Linked DNA regions of Arabidopsis thaliana. The protein of the gene in region 1 interacts with the protein of each later gene in a pairwise test. Each region holds a gene or a part of one and is shown in the gene's direction. Other genes may lie near its edges.

Region 1 (3,756 bases):
TCTTTTTGAAAGATACGTATTGTGAATAATGTATAAAGGATTTAGAACATAATTATGATCCTTGAGACTTGTAATATTTTATTAACTAACCGAAAACATAAGCAAGAGAATCGTGGATAACGACCTAACGTATAAGAAACATGAGACATGTCACAATCACTTTAAAAGTTTTCCTATCAAAACTCGAGTAGAAGCACATGAAATTTCTGGATATTAAAAATAAATAAATCAAAATAGCCTTATATTATTGCTGTCAGGAAATAATTCTATTTAGACTACCTGAATTTCCAGTTGAACGGCGTTTTTCCAAATTGCAAGCATCATATATTATGCTCATCGTATCATTAGTGCATAAATAAACTATGGACCAATTTCATGGTGAAAAAGGGGCTTCGGATGAAATTTTTGATCAAATTATATTTGTTTATTGATAAAACAAACGTTTTTTTTAAAGGATGACAGTTGTGCGTTTGAGATGAAAACCAAACACTGCTCCCACTCAAAATTTGTAAAAATGGAATTTATAAATATTTGGTGCTACAAATGTCGTTTGGTAGCCTTTGGAAACATTAAAGGTAAACTAGAGATATGGGAGTATGGAACTTAATCTCTTTATGTGGTTGTATTTCATATAATTTCACGTGGCCCAACTTGTTTCTGTCAATCCATTGATCAAAGTTGGTAGACAAGAGTGAACCCACACACACTCACACACATACACACGGTCGATCTTTTTTTCTATTCTCGTGTCCCTACGTCCTCTAAACCCCATCATTATACTTCTTGTGTTTTATTGGTATGCTGAGCTAGAGATAGTTAACAACTACCCAACAATGCGGGTCTGGCTTAGTTTGAACCTATTCGAAACTAGTTATACTCCGCTTGAAGTCATTGGTTCGAGACTAACTTTGGAGATGAGTATCATAAACAGCTCTAACTTAAGATTACAATACATCCTCTTGTTAGTCTAAGTTGAGAGGTGTTGCCATTGACTATATATTTCTTTGGGAATTTGGTTTACCAGGATGTTGCAAAGAAGATTTAAATAGTTATAAATTAGTACAAATTCAATCCATATGATATGATATTCAAAAAACAAAAAAAAAAAAAAACTGATCTAAAAGTCGAACCAAATTCTAATTTGATTAGAGCATGTATATAATTGAATCCCTAAGTAAAATTCAACCCAATACTTGAGAAGGTAGTTATATTCTTATAAATTATGGATATGATTTGATTAAAACTCAAACCTGAACCCAAAACATACTAGAATATACGTTTTTACTTTGTAACTATTTGTCACATTCCAAAACTAAACTCGGTACTATATTTGATTCTGATCCATACAAATTTTGTATATCTGGTTTATATTCTCCATGTGAGATTAAAGCGGTGACCAATCAAAATCATTGCTGGAATATCTTACTATTAAGCTAAATGTTGTTAGTTATATACAAGCCAATCCAAAAAAACTGATGCAAAGAGAGATAAACGAACATATCCCAAAATGGTAGGATTTGATTTAATATTCCCATCCTCTTATTAGAAATGCAAACAAATAGACTATAGTTTTATTTATTTATTTTCACTATAAAATAACTAAATAACATGAACTTATTGAAGAAAAAGTATACTATAGTTGTGATTCTGTGATATACTAGTTAGAACAAGAATCTTTACAAAAAAAAAACACATGGGATGTTAGGAGAAGGAGATTCGGATTCCAATGATCCAACGGTCAGAGAAAAATCAGAAGAAAATTTCACAACCGTAGGATCTGTTCCCTTAACCACCTTGTAATGCCGGTCTTTATTAATTTTGAGAAAAAAATAAAAACAGCACCAAACTTATGTCTCTCATGTGACCGACCACCGCATCCTCAGTTGACCTGTCTCTGCCCCCACTTTGTCTCCCCACACAAACTGAATAACAAGAAGAAGAAGACTTTAGATATCAAATGACTCCACGTGTCGATATTGGATTGGTTTTCATTGGTTGTATCGTGTGGACCAACGAAGCAACATATAAAAAGCACGACGCGGTGCCATTACTACAATAAGAGAAGTGTAGGAGAAGAAAGTTCTCATTTCATAATTGTATCAAATTGTGAGAGGAAAAAAAGAAGTTCAAGAAATGGAGAAGGAAGGACTCGGGCTTGAGATAACGGAGCTGAGATTGGGGCTTCCGGGGAGAGATGTGGCAGAGAAGATGATGAAGAAGAGAGCTTTCACGGAGATGAATATGACGTCGTCGGGTAGTAATAGTGATCAATGTGAAAGCGGCGTCGTTTCATCTGGTGGTGACGCTGAGAAGGTTAATGATTCGCCGGCGGCGAAAAGCCAGGTGGTGGGGTGGCCACCGGTTTGTTCTTACCGGAAGAAAAACAGCTGTAAGGAAGCTTCGACCACGAAAGTGGGGTTAGGGTATGTGAAAGTGAGCATGGATGGTGTGCCTTATTTGAGGAAGATGGATCTTGGTTCGAGCCAAGGCTATGATGATCTAGCCTTTGCTCTTGATAAGCTCTTCGGTTTCCGTGGCATCGGTTAGTAACAATTATGTTCTCTTCCCATAAAAGTAGAGTGGTAATTAGATCATGTGGAAAACAACTAATTATATATAGTTTACAAGACGTCCGATTAAGAACTTAGAGTGTTGTAGTCTTGTAGACGTAATGGAGTAGTATAGTTTAGTGCTGTTCTTTCTTTTTATGTCTACAACCAAACCAACACCCCAATTTATGATACAATGACAACACTAATACAAATATAGTTAGAATTTTGGTTAGCAGTTGAACTGATTGTGGTAGCAATGTTATAGATTTTAATTTAAAGTGTTATGAAAGGACAAATATGTCGAGATTTTTATTAGTCATCTCAGGAAATTTATTTACTTGTTCTTAGAGACTTAAGACTAGTCCTAATTTAACTGGTTATTTTTCTCCAAACTGTTTTGAATTATCTGAAAATTATCTATCATAGAAAATTAGAGGTTTCGGTTACTACATATCCGTAATTTCTAAAAATCAGAATTTATGCACCACTTGTATAGTTGTATTGTTAATTAGACTTTTCTATATACCGAATTCGCCATATTATCAACACAATTTTAAATTTACATATATACATATTTGTGCAGGTGTGGCCTTGAAAGATGGTGACAACTGCGAATACGTTACCATATACGAAGACAAAGATGGAGACTGGATGCTCGCCGGTGATGTACCTTGGGGGTATGTTCTATCTTTTGACTTAAGATATCTCACTACAAAAAGAAAATGTATCACAAACTAAAGTAAATGAGTTTGGATATTTTGATTTGCAGGATGTTTCTAGAGTCATGCAAGAGGTTGAGAATAATGAAAAGATCGGATGCTACCGGGTTTGGGCTGCAGCCTAGAGGAGTAGACGAGTGATGATGACTTGAACAAGAAGCAAGGAGCTGGTTCATTAATTTAATCTTAAACTTGATCATCAAGATCCTTTAGAACATTTTTCCTATTCATGTTATATAAATATATATGTTATAGTATATTATTTTGCAACAAAATTTCATGTTATGGTTTTGCATAATTATCTTCAGAAAGACAGCTATATATATATACACTACTTGTTTCTTGAGTGTTGAGTTAAAACATTAATCTGTTTCAAAATTTATTGTTATTTCGGATCTATATATGTGTGTAGAAACATATGTAATAAGTATCCATTATTTCATCTTTTTAAAAAATAATAATTATTATTTGAATCTTTCATTGTT
Region 2 (3,756 bases), on another chromosome or scaffold:
AAGAAAAAAATTGCAACCACCATCTATCCCTCAATGCTCAATTCTAACTCCTTTATTTATTTATTTATTGTGATGCTATAGTTTGTTTCTTCTTCTTTCCATTAAATAAGTCAGATTTTATTTTCTCTTAATTAATACAGTAAGTTTTAAATTATGTTTTAGTTATAAGATATGAATTAAACACATAGCATTATTTTCTTTAATACGAGCAAATTCTCCGAAATTTGTAAAATACATAGAATTTTTCTATCAAAAATAAAAGTAAGAGTGTAGATTTGTATTTGATGGGATTTTTATTCTAACTGTGATATCTATATGACAAAATCTCTATTATTCTAACTTTTTTCTTTTTCTTGATATCATTCTAACTTAATCATTAGACTACAATCAATTTGTTTAGAATATATTTGTGTTGCGCTCATAACGATTCTTTTCAATATATATTGTTTGATTAAAGCTTTTAACAAAGTACAGTTTGCTTTCTAAATTATTTTTAACACGTATCCAGTTTTTTAAAAATATATAAAAATATATTCTTCACACCTATCATTTTTTATAAATAAAATATTTTTAACATTTAAAGATATATAAGATATTTCTAATAGTATAATTTATTTTTAATACTTATCATGTTTCTTAAATGGTTTGAACGCTTCGTTTCATTAGTTTATCCAACCTACCTCAGTTATGATATTACACTTTAGTAAAATAAAAAAAAACTGGTTATAAACTTAAAATATTATGCTTTGCTCGTATTAAAGAATTTCAGTACTTGTATATCGTTTTTTTAATTATTATTATGATTTATGACCTCGCGATTCGTGATGGTTAGTAGTAGACTAGTCGTAGTGGACAACTACTGTAAGAAAAAAAACTAAAAATAGATAGACACACACGCTAAATTAAATAAATCGTAAATCACGATTACATATTTATGTTTGTACTTGAAAATGTTATCGCTTTACGTGTGGTGATGGTGAGACAACAGTGTTTGTGTTTGGACGGGATAGATGTCAAATTACTCAAACGTGCGACTCTAAATTACACAAACTCTCATTTATTGCCCATCCTCCATCGATATCTTCACCCCTCTAATATATTTTAAAAATGTTATTTATAACTTCAACAATACACATTCGGTTTCATTTACAATTAATCCTTGCGTTATTATTACTTCTAAGCTATAGTATCTTGTACTTCCTTCCCCTGCTATTATTTAAACGGAAAGAATCCAGCTAATTCCGATCCACCTGCTCCTAGTAGCAATCTATCTATAAACAAACAAAACTAAAGTATAAATTATCACGAACATCTTAACAATAATAGTCAATGCAAGTGGTTCTTGTGTATACAAAGAATTAATAGGAACTACTATCCACATCCTTACGTTTACATTTTTCACAACCAATCATGCACTAAATTAACCTCTAATGAAAAAGTTAAAAATAAAGAATAATATTATCAAAGAATAATGATAATGTTCAGCAACATGTTGGACCAAGAAATGTTCAAACAATACTATAATATTGAAATATTTAGTAGTATTAGTTTTGTTCTTGTTTTTTTTATATGAGGAACATCAGCCATATCGTATAAATCGTGATAAACCGAGTTTATAAATCATATTTCGTATCTCGCCGAGAAGAAAGACGACGTAGCATCTTTACGAGTTGAACATTTCTCCATCACGTGATGTTCGATGAGTTAACGCATCTCAAGAGCAATTGGCTCTTCAATGTCATATCCGTAAATATTAGTCAAACTTGAGGGCAATGACTCAATATAAAAAGCTTTGTCGTGCCACGAGGGATCTGGAGACAAGTCTGACACATTGAATGAAACTCTAGCCGTTAGATCTCCGTCCTCCGCGCCATCTGACAAAATCGACGGTTTTCCAGATAGGTGTAAAACTCATCGCGAAGGAGTGGATCACACCTCTGTGGAGTACAGCTGGCAACTAATATTCCGAGCCGATAACGTCGAGAAATGTAGCCGATCAAGTCGTAGTTATAAGCAGTTCTACTTATCATTCCTGCTTATCGCAGTTAGCTTTTCTTAGAGTGATAGCTAACTTATTTTATCAGCATCCAATTATCTGTCACCTTCTCTTATTAAAATCTCCATTTCTGCAAGTTTTAATGTCCGTATATATATCTCGAAGAGAGAGAAAATCCCTTTTTCTCTAGATAGAGAGAGAGAGAGAGAGAGAGAAGAAGAAGCTTTTTAATTTAGTTTTGCTTTCTTTCAAGTTTCCTTTTTTCGATAGAGAGAAAAAGAGTCCAAAAATCAATCCATCACCTCTTTCGTCTCTGTGGTCTTCTTCTTCTTCTTCATCGATCTCTCTCTCTTTATGGTGAGTAAGCTTCACGCTTCTTTCTTCTACCTTTGTTGCCTCTGTTAATGGAATCTAGCTGTTTCGAGTTTTATTGTATATATTTTTTTATCCTTTTGCCCAAACTTTTTTCTGGGTTTTGCTTTATTTTTTCATCCCCCTTTCTGATAATTAATTTGCTTTTTTCATGTAGTAAAAAAAGATTCTTTTTTTAAGCTATTAAATTCACATCTTCCAATTCCAGGAAGACCTAAATTTCCTCTTTTTTTTGCCGTTATCTGCAGAGATGCGAAGTTTCTGGATAATTATTCAGATATAGGTTCCAAGTTTTTAGCTTTCATTTCTAACTTCTCTTTTCGTGTTTTTTAATTTCCATAATCTGGAAACTCAGATTTGAGCTCATTTCGGCCATTGTTTATATTGCAGATCTGGTGATAGTTTGGTTAGTTGTTGTGCATCTGAGTTAGAAAAAAGTCTTTTAAGGAAGTGAGAGAAAACATGTCTTCTCTTAGTAGAGAGCTCGTTTTCTTGATCTTACAGTTTCTCGATGAAGAGAAGTTTAAAGAGACTGTTCACAAGTATGTCTCTTTTGCTCTGTAGATTTCCTTGGATCTAATTTACCAACTGACCTGTTTAGCTCTTGTGTTGGTTAATGCATTATTGCTTTGTCATGTTCAGGCTTGAACAAGAATCTGGGTTTTTCTTCAATATGAAGTATTTTGAGGATGAGGTTCACAATGGAAATTGGGATGAGGTTGAGAAGTATCTCTCTGGTTTCACTAAAGTAGATGATAATAGATACTCTATGAAGATATTCTTCGAGATAAGAAAGCAGAAGTATCTCGAGGCTTTGGATAAGTAAGTCATGGTTGGGGATTTGTTTTTTTTTTTTCCTTTCAGTGAGATAGCAAAAGAAAAAGAGTCTGATTTGTGATTGACCTTGGTGACTTTTTTGTTGGTAGGCATGATCGTCCCAAGGCTGTGGATATACTAGTGAAGGATTTGAAAGTGTTTTCAACTTTTAATGAGGAGCTTTTCAAGGAAATAACACAGCTCTTGACATTGGAGAACTTCCGGTAATGTTATATTGGATTAATGTAGTGTCCAAAGCCTTTGTTTTCTTAGCCGTAGTTCAAAAGAAAGATTGATGCAGAGTATTAAGTGTTTCGAGTTTGATCAACTTTTAGGGAGAATGAACAGTTATCCAAGTATGGGGACACCAAGTCTGCAAGAGCGATCATGTTGGTGGAACTCAAAAAGCTGATTGAGGCGAATCCTTTATTCCGTGATAAATTGCAGTTCCCTACTCTTAGAAATTCAAGGCTGAGGACTTTGATCAACCAGAGGTTTATTGCTTTGTCCCTTAATCTTTTTGTCTTATTCACTTCAAGTTGTTGTTGGCATATTAATTCATTCTATCTTTT
Region 3 (3,756 bases), on another chromosome or scaffold:
AAATAATATTCGAGATTTGTTAACCATAGTATAACATTTGTAAACCACTAAACATAAAAGTAACGAGAAAATCTCCTAAAGCAAAGTAACGTTTCTCTATATTTAGCGTTTTACAAAATTTATGTTAAAAAATTATGTTTAGCGTTTTACAAAAATTATGCTAGAAAAGTTTATGTTTAGCGGAAATCTAAAATCACTTAAAACGCAAAAAATTAATCAGTACGTAGATTATTTTCCACAACTCTCTCTTACATACAAATTAACAAATAATGCATATCAGAATGACATAGTAAAGTCGAGAAAATCATGGAATCGTAACGAAACTTCCTCGTCTCTCTCTGATAATTCATCCAACTCAAGTGGTGTATTTTGTGGTTACATTTACATATATTGTCAACACCAACTGTCGAATTCATTAAATCGGCTAAAATACGTTGATGTGATTCTGGAAATATCTTTAGGACAGTATATGAGTTATTCATCTTGTTCATTTTCCACTTTCCACTGCGGACACCATACGGACACACAACCGGTTCTGAAATGCGTCACGCTCTTCTTCCTTTCATTCCAACTTTAATACATGCATGAAGTCGTAGTTCGGAGTTCATACTAAATTTCGGTCACTTTGTAATAAGAAAACTATTAACATTTTTCTTTTTCTTTTTTTAAACGTTAGCTAGGCCTCAAAGTTTCACAAAAAAAAAAGAAAAAAAAAAGCTAGGCGTCGAAATCCATAACTTCAAAAGGCCTTCTTACATTCATCCAATCTCCAAACTTCTGTCTTCACGCATTTATTGCTCAGGGACATCATGTCGCTACTCACTGCCACTTATTTGAATTGACATCCATTCATTCCATACATATATATTACCTTCACTTAAAGTTGTAAGTATATAGAATTTTAAGCATTCCTGCCAAATAAGTTTTGGATCGAACCTAAACTAACAAAGAGGTTACTGTTTTGTAACTTTCTTTTTTGATGTGGGGTCATTCAAAGGGTTTACATGCATTTTACAATGGTCTGTGATGAATATGGAGGTTCAGTCTTTGGTAGATAAAACTTGTTATGTGGCCTTAAACCAAATAGATTGTAGTTTGTACAATGACATATTTATGGTTATATTCGGTTTTCCAATATGTTTAGGAATATATATCACCGTTTTTTTTTGGGTAGACATTTTAACGATTATAGAGGAAAATTTTGAATGATGGCTGTACTGGGAAAAGAGTGTAAGTTGTGATCATCATATGTAATTTTATTTTGTGTGACATTATAACACTTCTTCCAAAAGACAAAAGTTTAGGTTAATTAATATAAGAAACCAATAAAGAATCATGAACAAAGAGAGAACTTCTATCATTTTTGATATGAAATCGTCCGTTAAAATATTGTTCTTTGTGATCGCATATGCTGTATGTACTTAGATTTGATCAATTAATCAACATTTACAACAAAATAAGATCAATTGTTTATAATGATGATCTAAGCGAATTTAGATTTGTTTGTTATTATAGAACTCATTACTAAACATTTAAGTTCCATTCTCGTTTAAAACATGAACGCTAGTTTATGAAACTCAGAACCAACCATGTAAAACTCCACAAAATTTCTAGTAAAATGCTTTTGTTCAAAATAATGAAAATCATAAAATTTTTTGATGAATTATGAATCCTAAAATCTATCTGAATTAAATATAGTTAACTACAAAAGAAATTGCCAAACATATATGTACGCACTTTGATCAAATAACTAGCTAGTCAGCTTAGTTTGTTTTTTTCAATACATCCCCTATAAATCTATGTTATCCCTAATCAAGTATTACAATAAATGATACAGTAATAATAACCTTAATGAAAAAAACTTATCAAATTATCAGAGATAAGGAAAAAGAAAACACTAATAAAGTTGTTTTTTTGTGTGTCAAAGTTAAAATTTTAGAGGACAATAATAACATTAAGAAATTAAATCGTGGCCAGTTTGCTAGTGAATATGTCGGCTTCATGAGCATAACTAAATAGGTATAAAAAAATAAAAATATCGGAAAAAGAAAAGAGAAGGAAAAAAAAAGGAGAGGAAGAAGAAAAAGCTGTTCCTGTGCTTTAGCAGACCTTTTGGTAGTTGTCCTGGTCGCTGATCATCCCTTTCCGACAACTCTGTTGCTCTTTCTCTCACGTTTGAGTCTTAATCTTCGATTGTCCTTGGTCATCCTTAAGTTTTGTTTTTCTCTTTCGATTCATTTTCCAGATTTCTTTTTATAGAAACCCGTCTCTTTGATTTGATTCCCCCCAAGAAAGGAAAGCAAAACAAAGAAGAGCAGCTGAATCAAGTAACTTTGTGGGTGTTTTTGAATTATCTGACTCGAGATAAAGAGCTTCGTTAAAAACGGAATCTTTTTTAAGGTCGTATGCTTTGTTTGTCTCTCCGGAGATTCCGCGTGTGAAAAGTCGTGGTTTTTGATCTCTTTGAGATACTTAAAATTTCCGAGAAATTGGCGGCTCTGTCGGAGATAAAAAGCTGAGATCTTGGAGTTCCCCATTTCTGATTAACGATTCTCTCTGCTGTTACTTGAGCTAGGAAGCTATTAACAACTTGAGTGAAAGTTTAGGGCTTTTGATGAAGCTCTCACGCAAAGAGCTTAGCTTTGTATAAGCTCAGATTCAGATTATTTATTGGGTTTATTCTTCAGAGAAAGTAAAGTTGAGTGATCATGAAAGCTCCTTCATCAAATGGAGTTTCTCCTAATCCTGTTGAAGGTTTGTGTGTTTCTCGTATCTGATAAATGTCAATCCTTTAGTAGAAGAAATTCATTGCTGGATTTGAATAGATTCAAGTTTTAAGTAGAAGAGGTCACACATTTCTTCAGAATTGCTGGATTTGAGAACCTGAATTGAATTGGTTTCGGTCATTTTCTGCTTAGAGAGTAAGCTAAGTTACTATTGTATTGGTTTATAAAGACTGTGGCTTTTAGTTGGTTTAGAGCAGTTCTCTCCTATCTTGTTGGTTTGATAATAGTAACTGAATGAAGATCCTAGAGATTTTAAGTAATCACAGCTTTGATGTTGTGTGAATGCAGGAGAAAGGAGAAATATAAACTCAGAGCTATGGCACGCTTGTGCTGGGCCATTGATTTCGTTGCCTCCAGCAGGAAGTCTTGTTGTTTACTTCCCTCAAGGTCACAGTGAGCAAGTATGTTGTTCAATAAAGTTTGGTATCATTCGCGGCTGATCAAGAATGAGTCGCTGATTGGAAATTTCATGTGGTTGCTATTTATTTTTCTGTTTCTTAGGTCGCGGCTTCAATGCAGAAGCAGACTGATTTCATACCAAGTTACCCGAATCTTCCTTCCAAGCTCATATGCATGCTCCACAATGTTACACTGAATGTATGGTATCTTTTAAATATCTATAATGGCCTCTTAGGCTAGTTGTTTTAACATTTTTTGCTTTTGAGTTGCTAATGTTTTGCTAATTGTCGACTGTGAACCAGGCTGATCCTGAGACGGATGAGGTCTATGCGCAGATGACTCTTCAGCCAGTAAACAAAGTAGCTTACCTTTCACTGAATAACTCGATTTATAGGTGTATTTAAGGAGTAGGGAGGGACTAATTGCTCTGAGCATTTTGTTGAACAGTATGACAGAGATGCATTGCTTGCTTCTGACATGGGTCTTAAGCTAAACAGACAACCTAATGAATTTTTCTGCAAAACCCTCACGGCGAGTGACACAAGTACTCACGGTGGATTTTCTGTACCCC

The links.
Region 2: the proteins of IAA19 (region 1) and TPL interact in a two-hybrid assay, tested with the Arabidopsis thaliana proteins (3 studies listed by BioGRID).
Region 3: the proteins of IAA19 (region 1) and NPH4 interact in binary tests that used the Arabidopsis thaliana proteins (3 or more experiments, as listed by UniProt).

Annotation. Positions count from the first base shown.
Region 1 is NC_003074.8:5,261,967-5,265,722, forward strand, and holds IAA19 (indole-3-acetic acid inducible 19), read left to right. Parts: upstream 1-2,034; 5' UTR 2,035-2,133; coding exon 2,134-2,542; intron 2,543-3,135; coding exon 3,136-3,229; intron 3,230-3,321; coding exon 3,322-3,412; 3' UTR 3,413-3,729; downstream 3,730-3,756. UniProt on the Arabidopsis thaliana protein: Aux/IAA proteins are short-lived transcriptional factors that function as repressors of early auxin response genes at low auxin concentrations.
Region 2 is NC_003070.9:5,419,434-5,423,189, reverse strand, and holds the start of TPL (Transducin family protein / WD-40 repeat family protein), read left to right. Parts: upstream 1-2,156; 5' UTR 2,157-2,353; exon of another isoform or gene 2,354-2,616; 5' UTR 2,617-2,651; exon of another isoform or gene 2,652-2,758; 5' UTR 2,759-2,830; coding exon 2,831-2,910; intron 2,911-3,010; coding exon 3,011-3,190; intron 3,191-3,294; coding exon 3,295-3,408; intron 3,409-3,519; coding exon 3,520-3,678; intron 3,679-3,756. UniProt on the Arabidopsis thaliana protein: Transcriptional corepressor. May repress the expression of root-promoting genes in the top half of the embryo to allow proper differentiation of the shoot pole during the transition stage of embryogenesis. Regulates the expression of PLT1 and PLT2.
Region 3 is NC_003076.8:7,020,457-7,024,212, reverse strand, and holds the start of NPH4 (Transcriptional factor B3 family protein / auxin-responsive factor AUX/IAA-like protein), read left to right. Parts: upstream 1-2,099; 5' UTR 2,100-2,708; coding exon 2,709-2,754; intron 2,755-3,074; coding exon 3,075-3,187; intron 3,188-3,287; coding exon 3,288-3,383; intron 3,384-3,487; coding exon 3,488-3,544; intron 3,545-3,632; coding exon 3,633-3,756. UniProt on the Arabidopsis thaliana protein: Auxin response factors (ARFs) are transcriptional factors that bind specifically to the DNA sequence 5'-TGTCTC-3' found in the auxin-responsive promoter elements (AuxREs).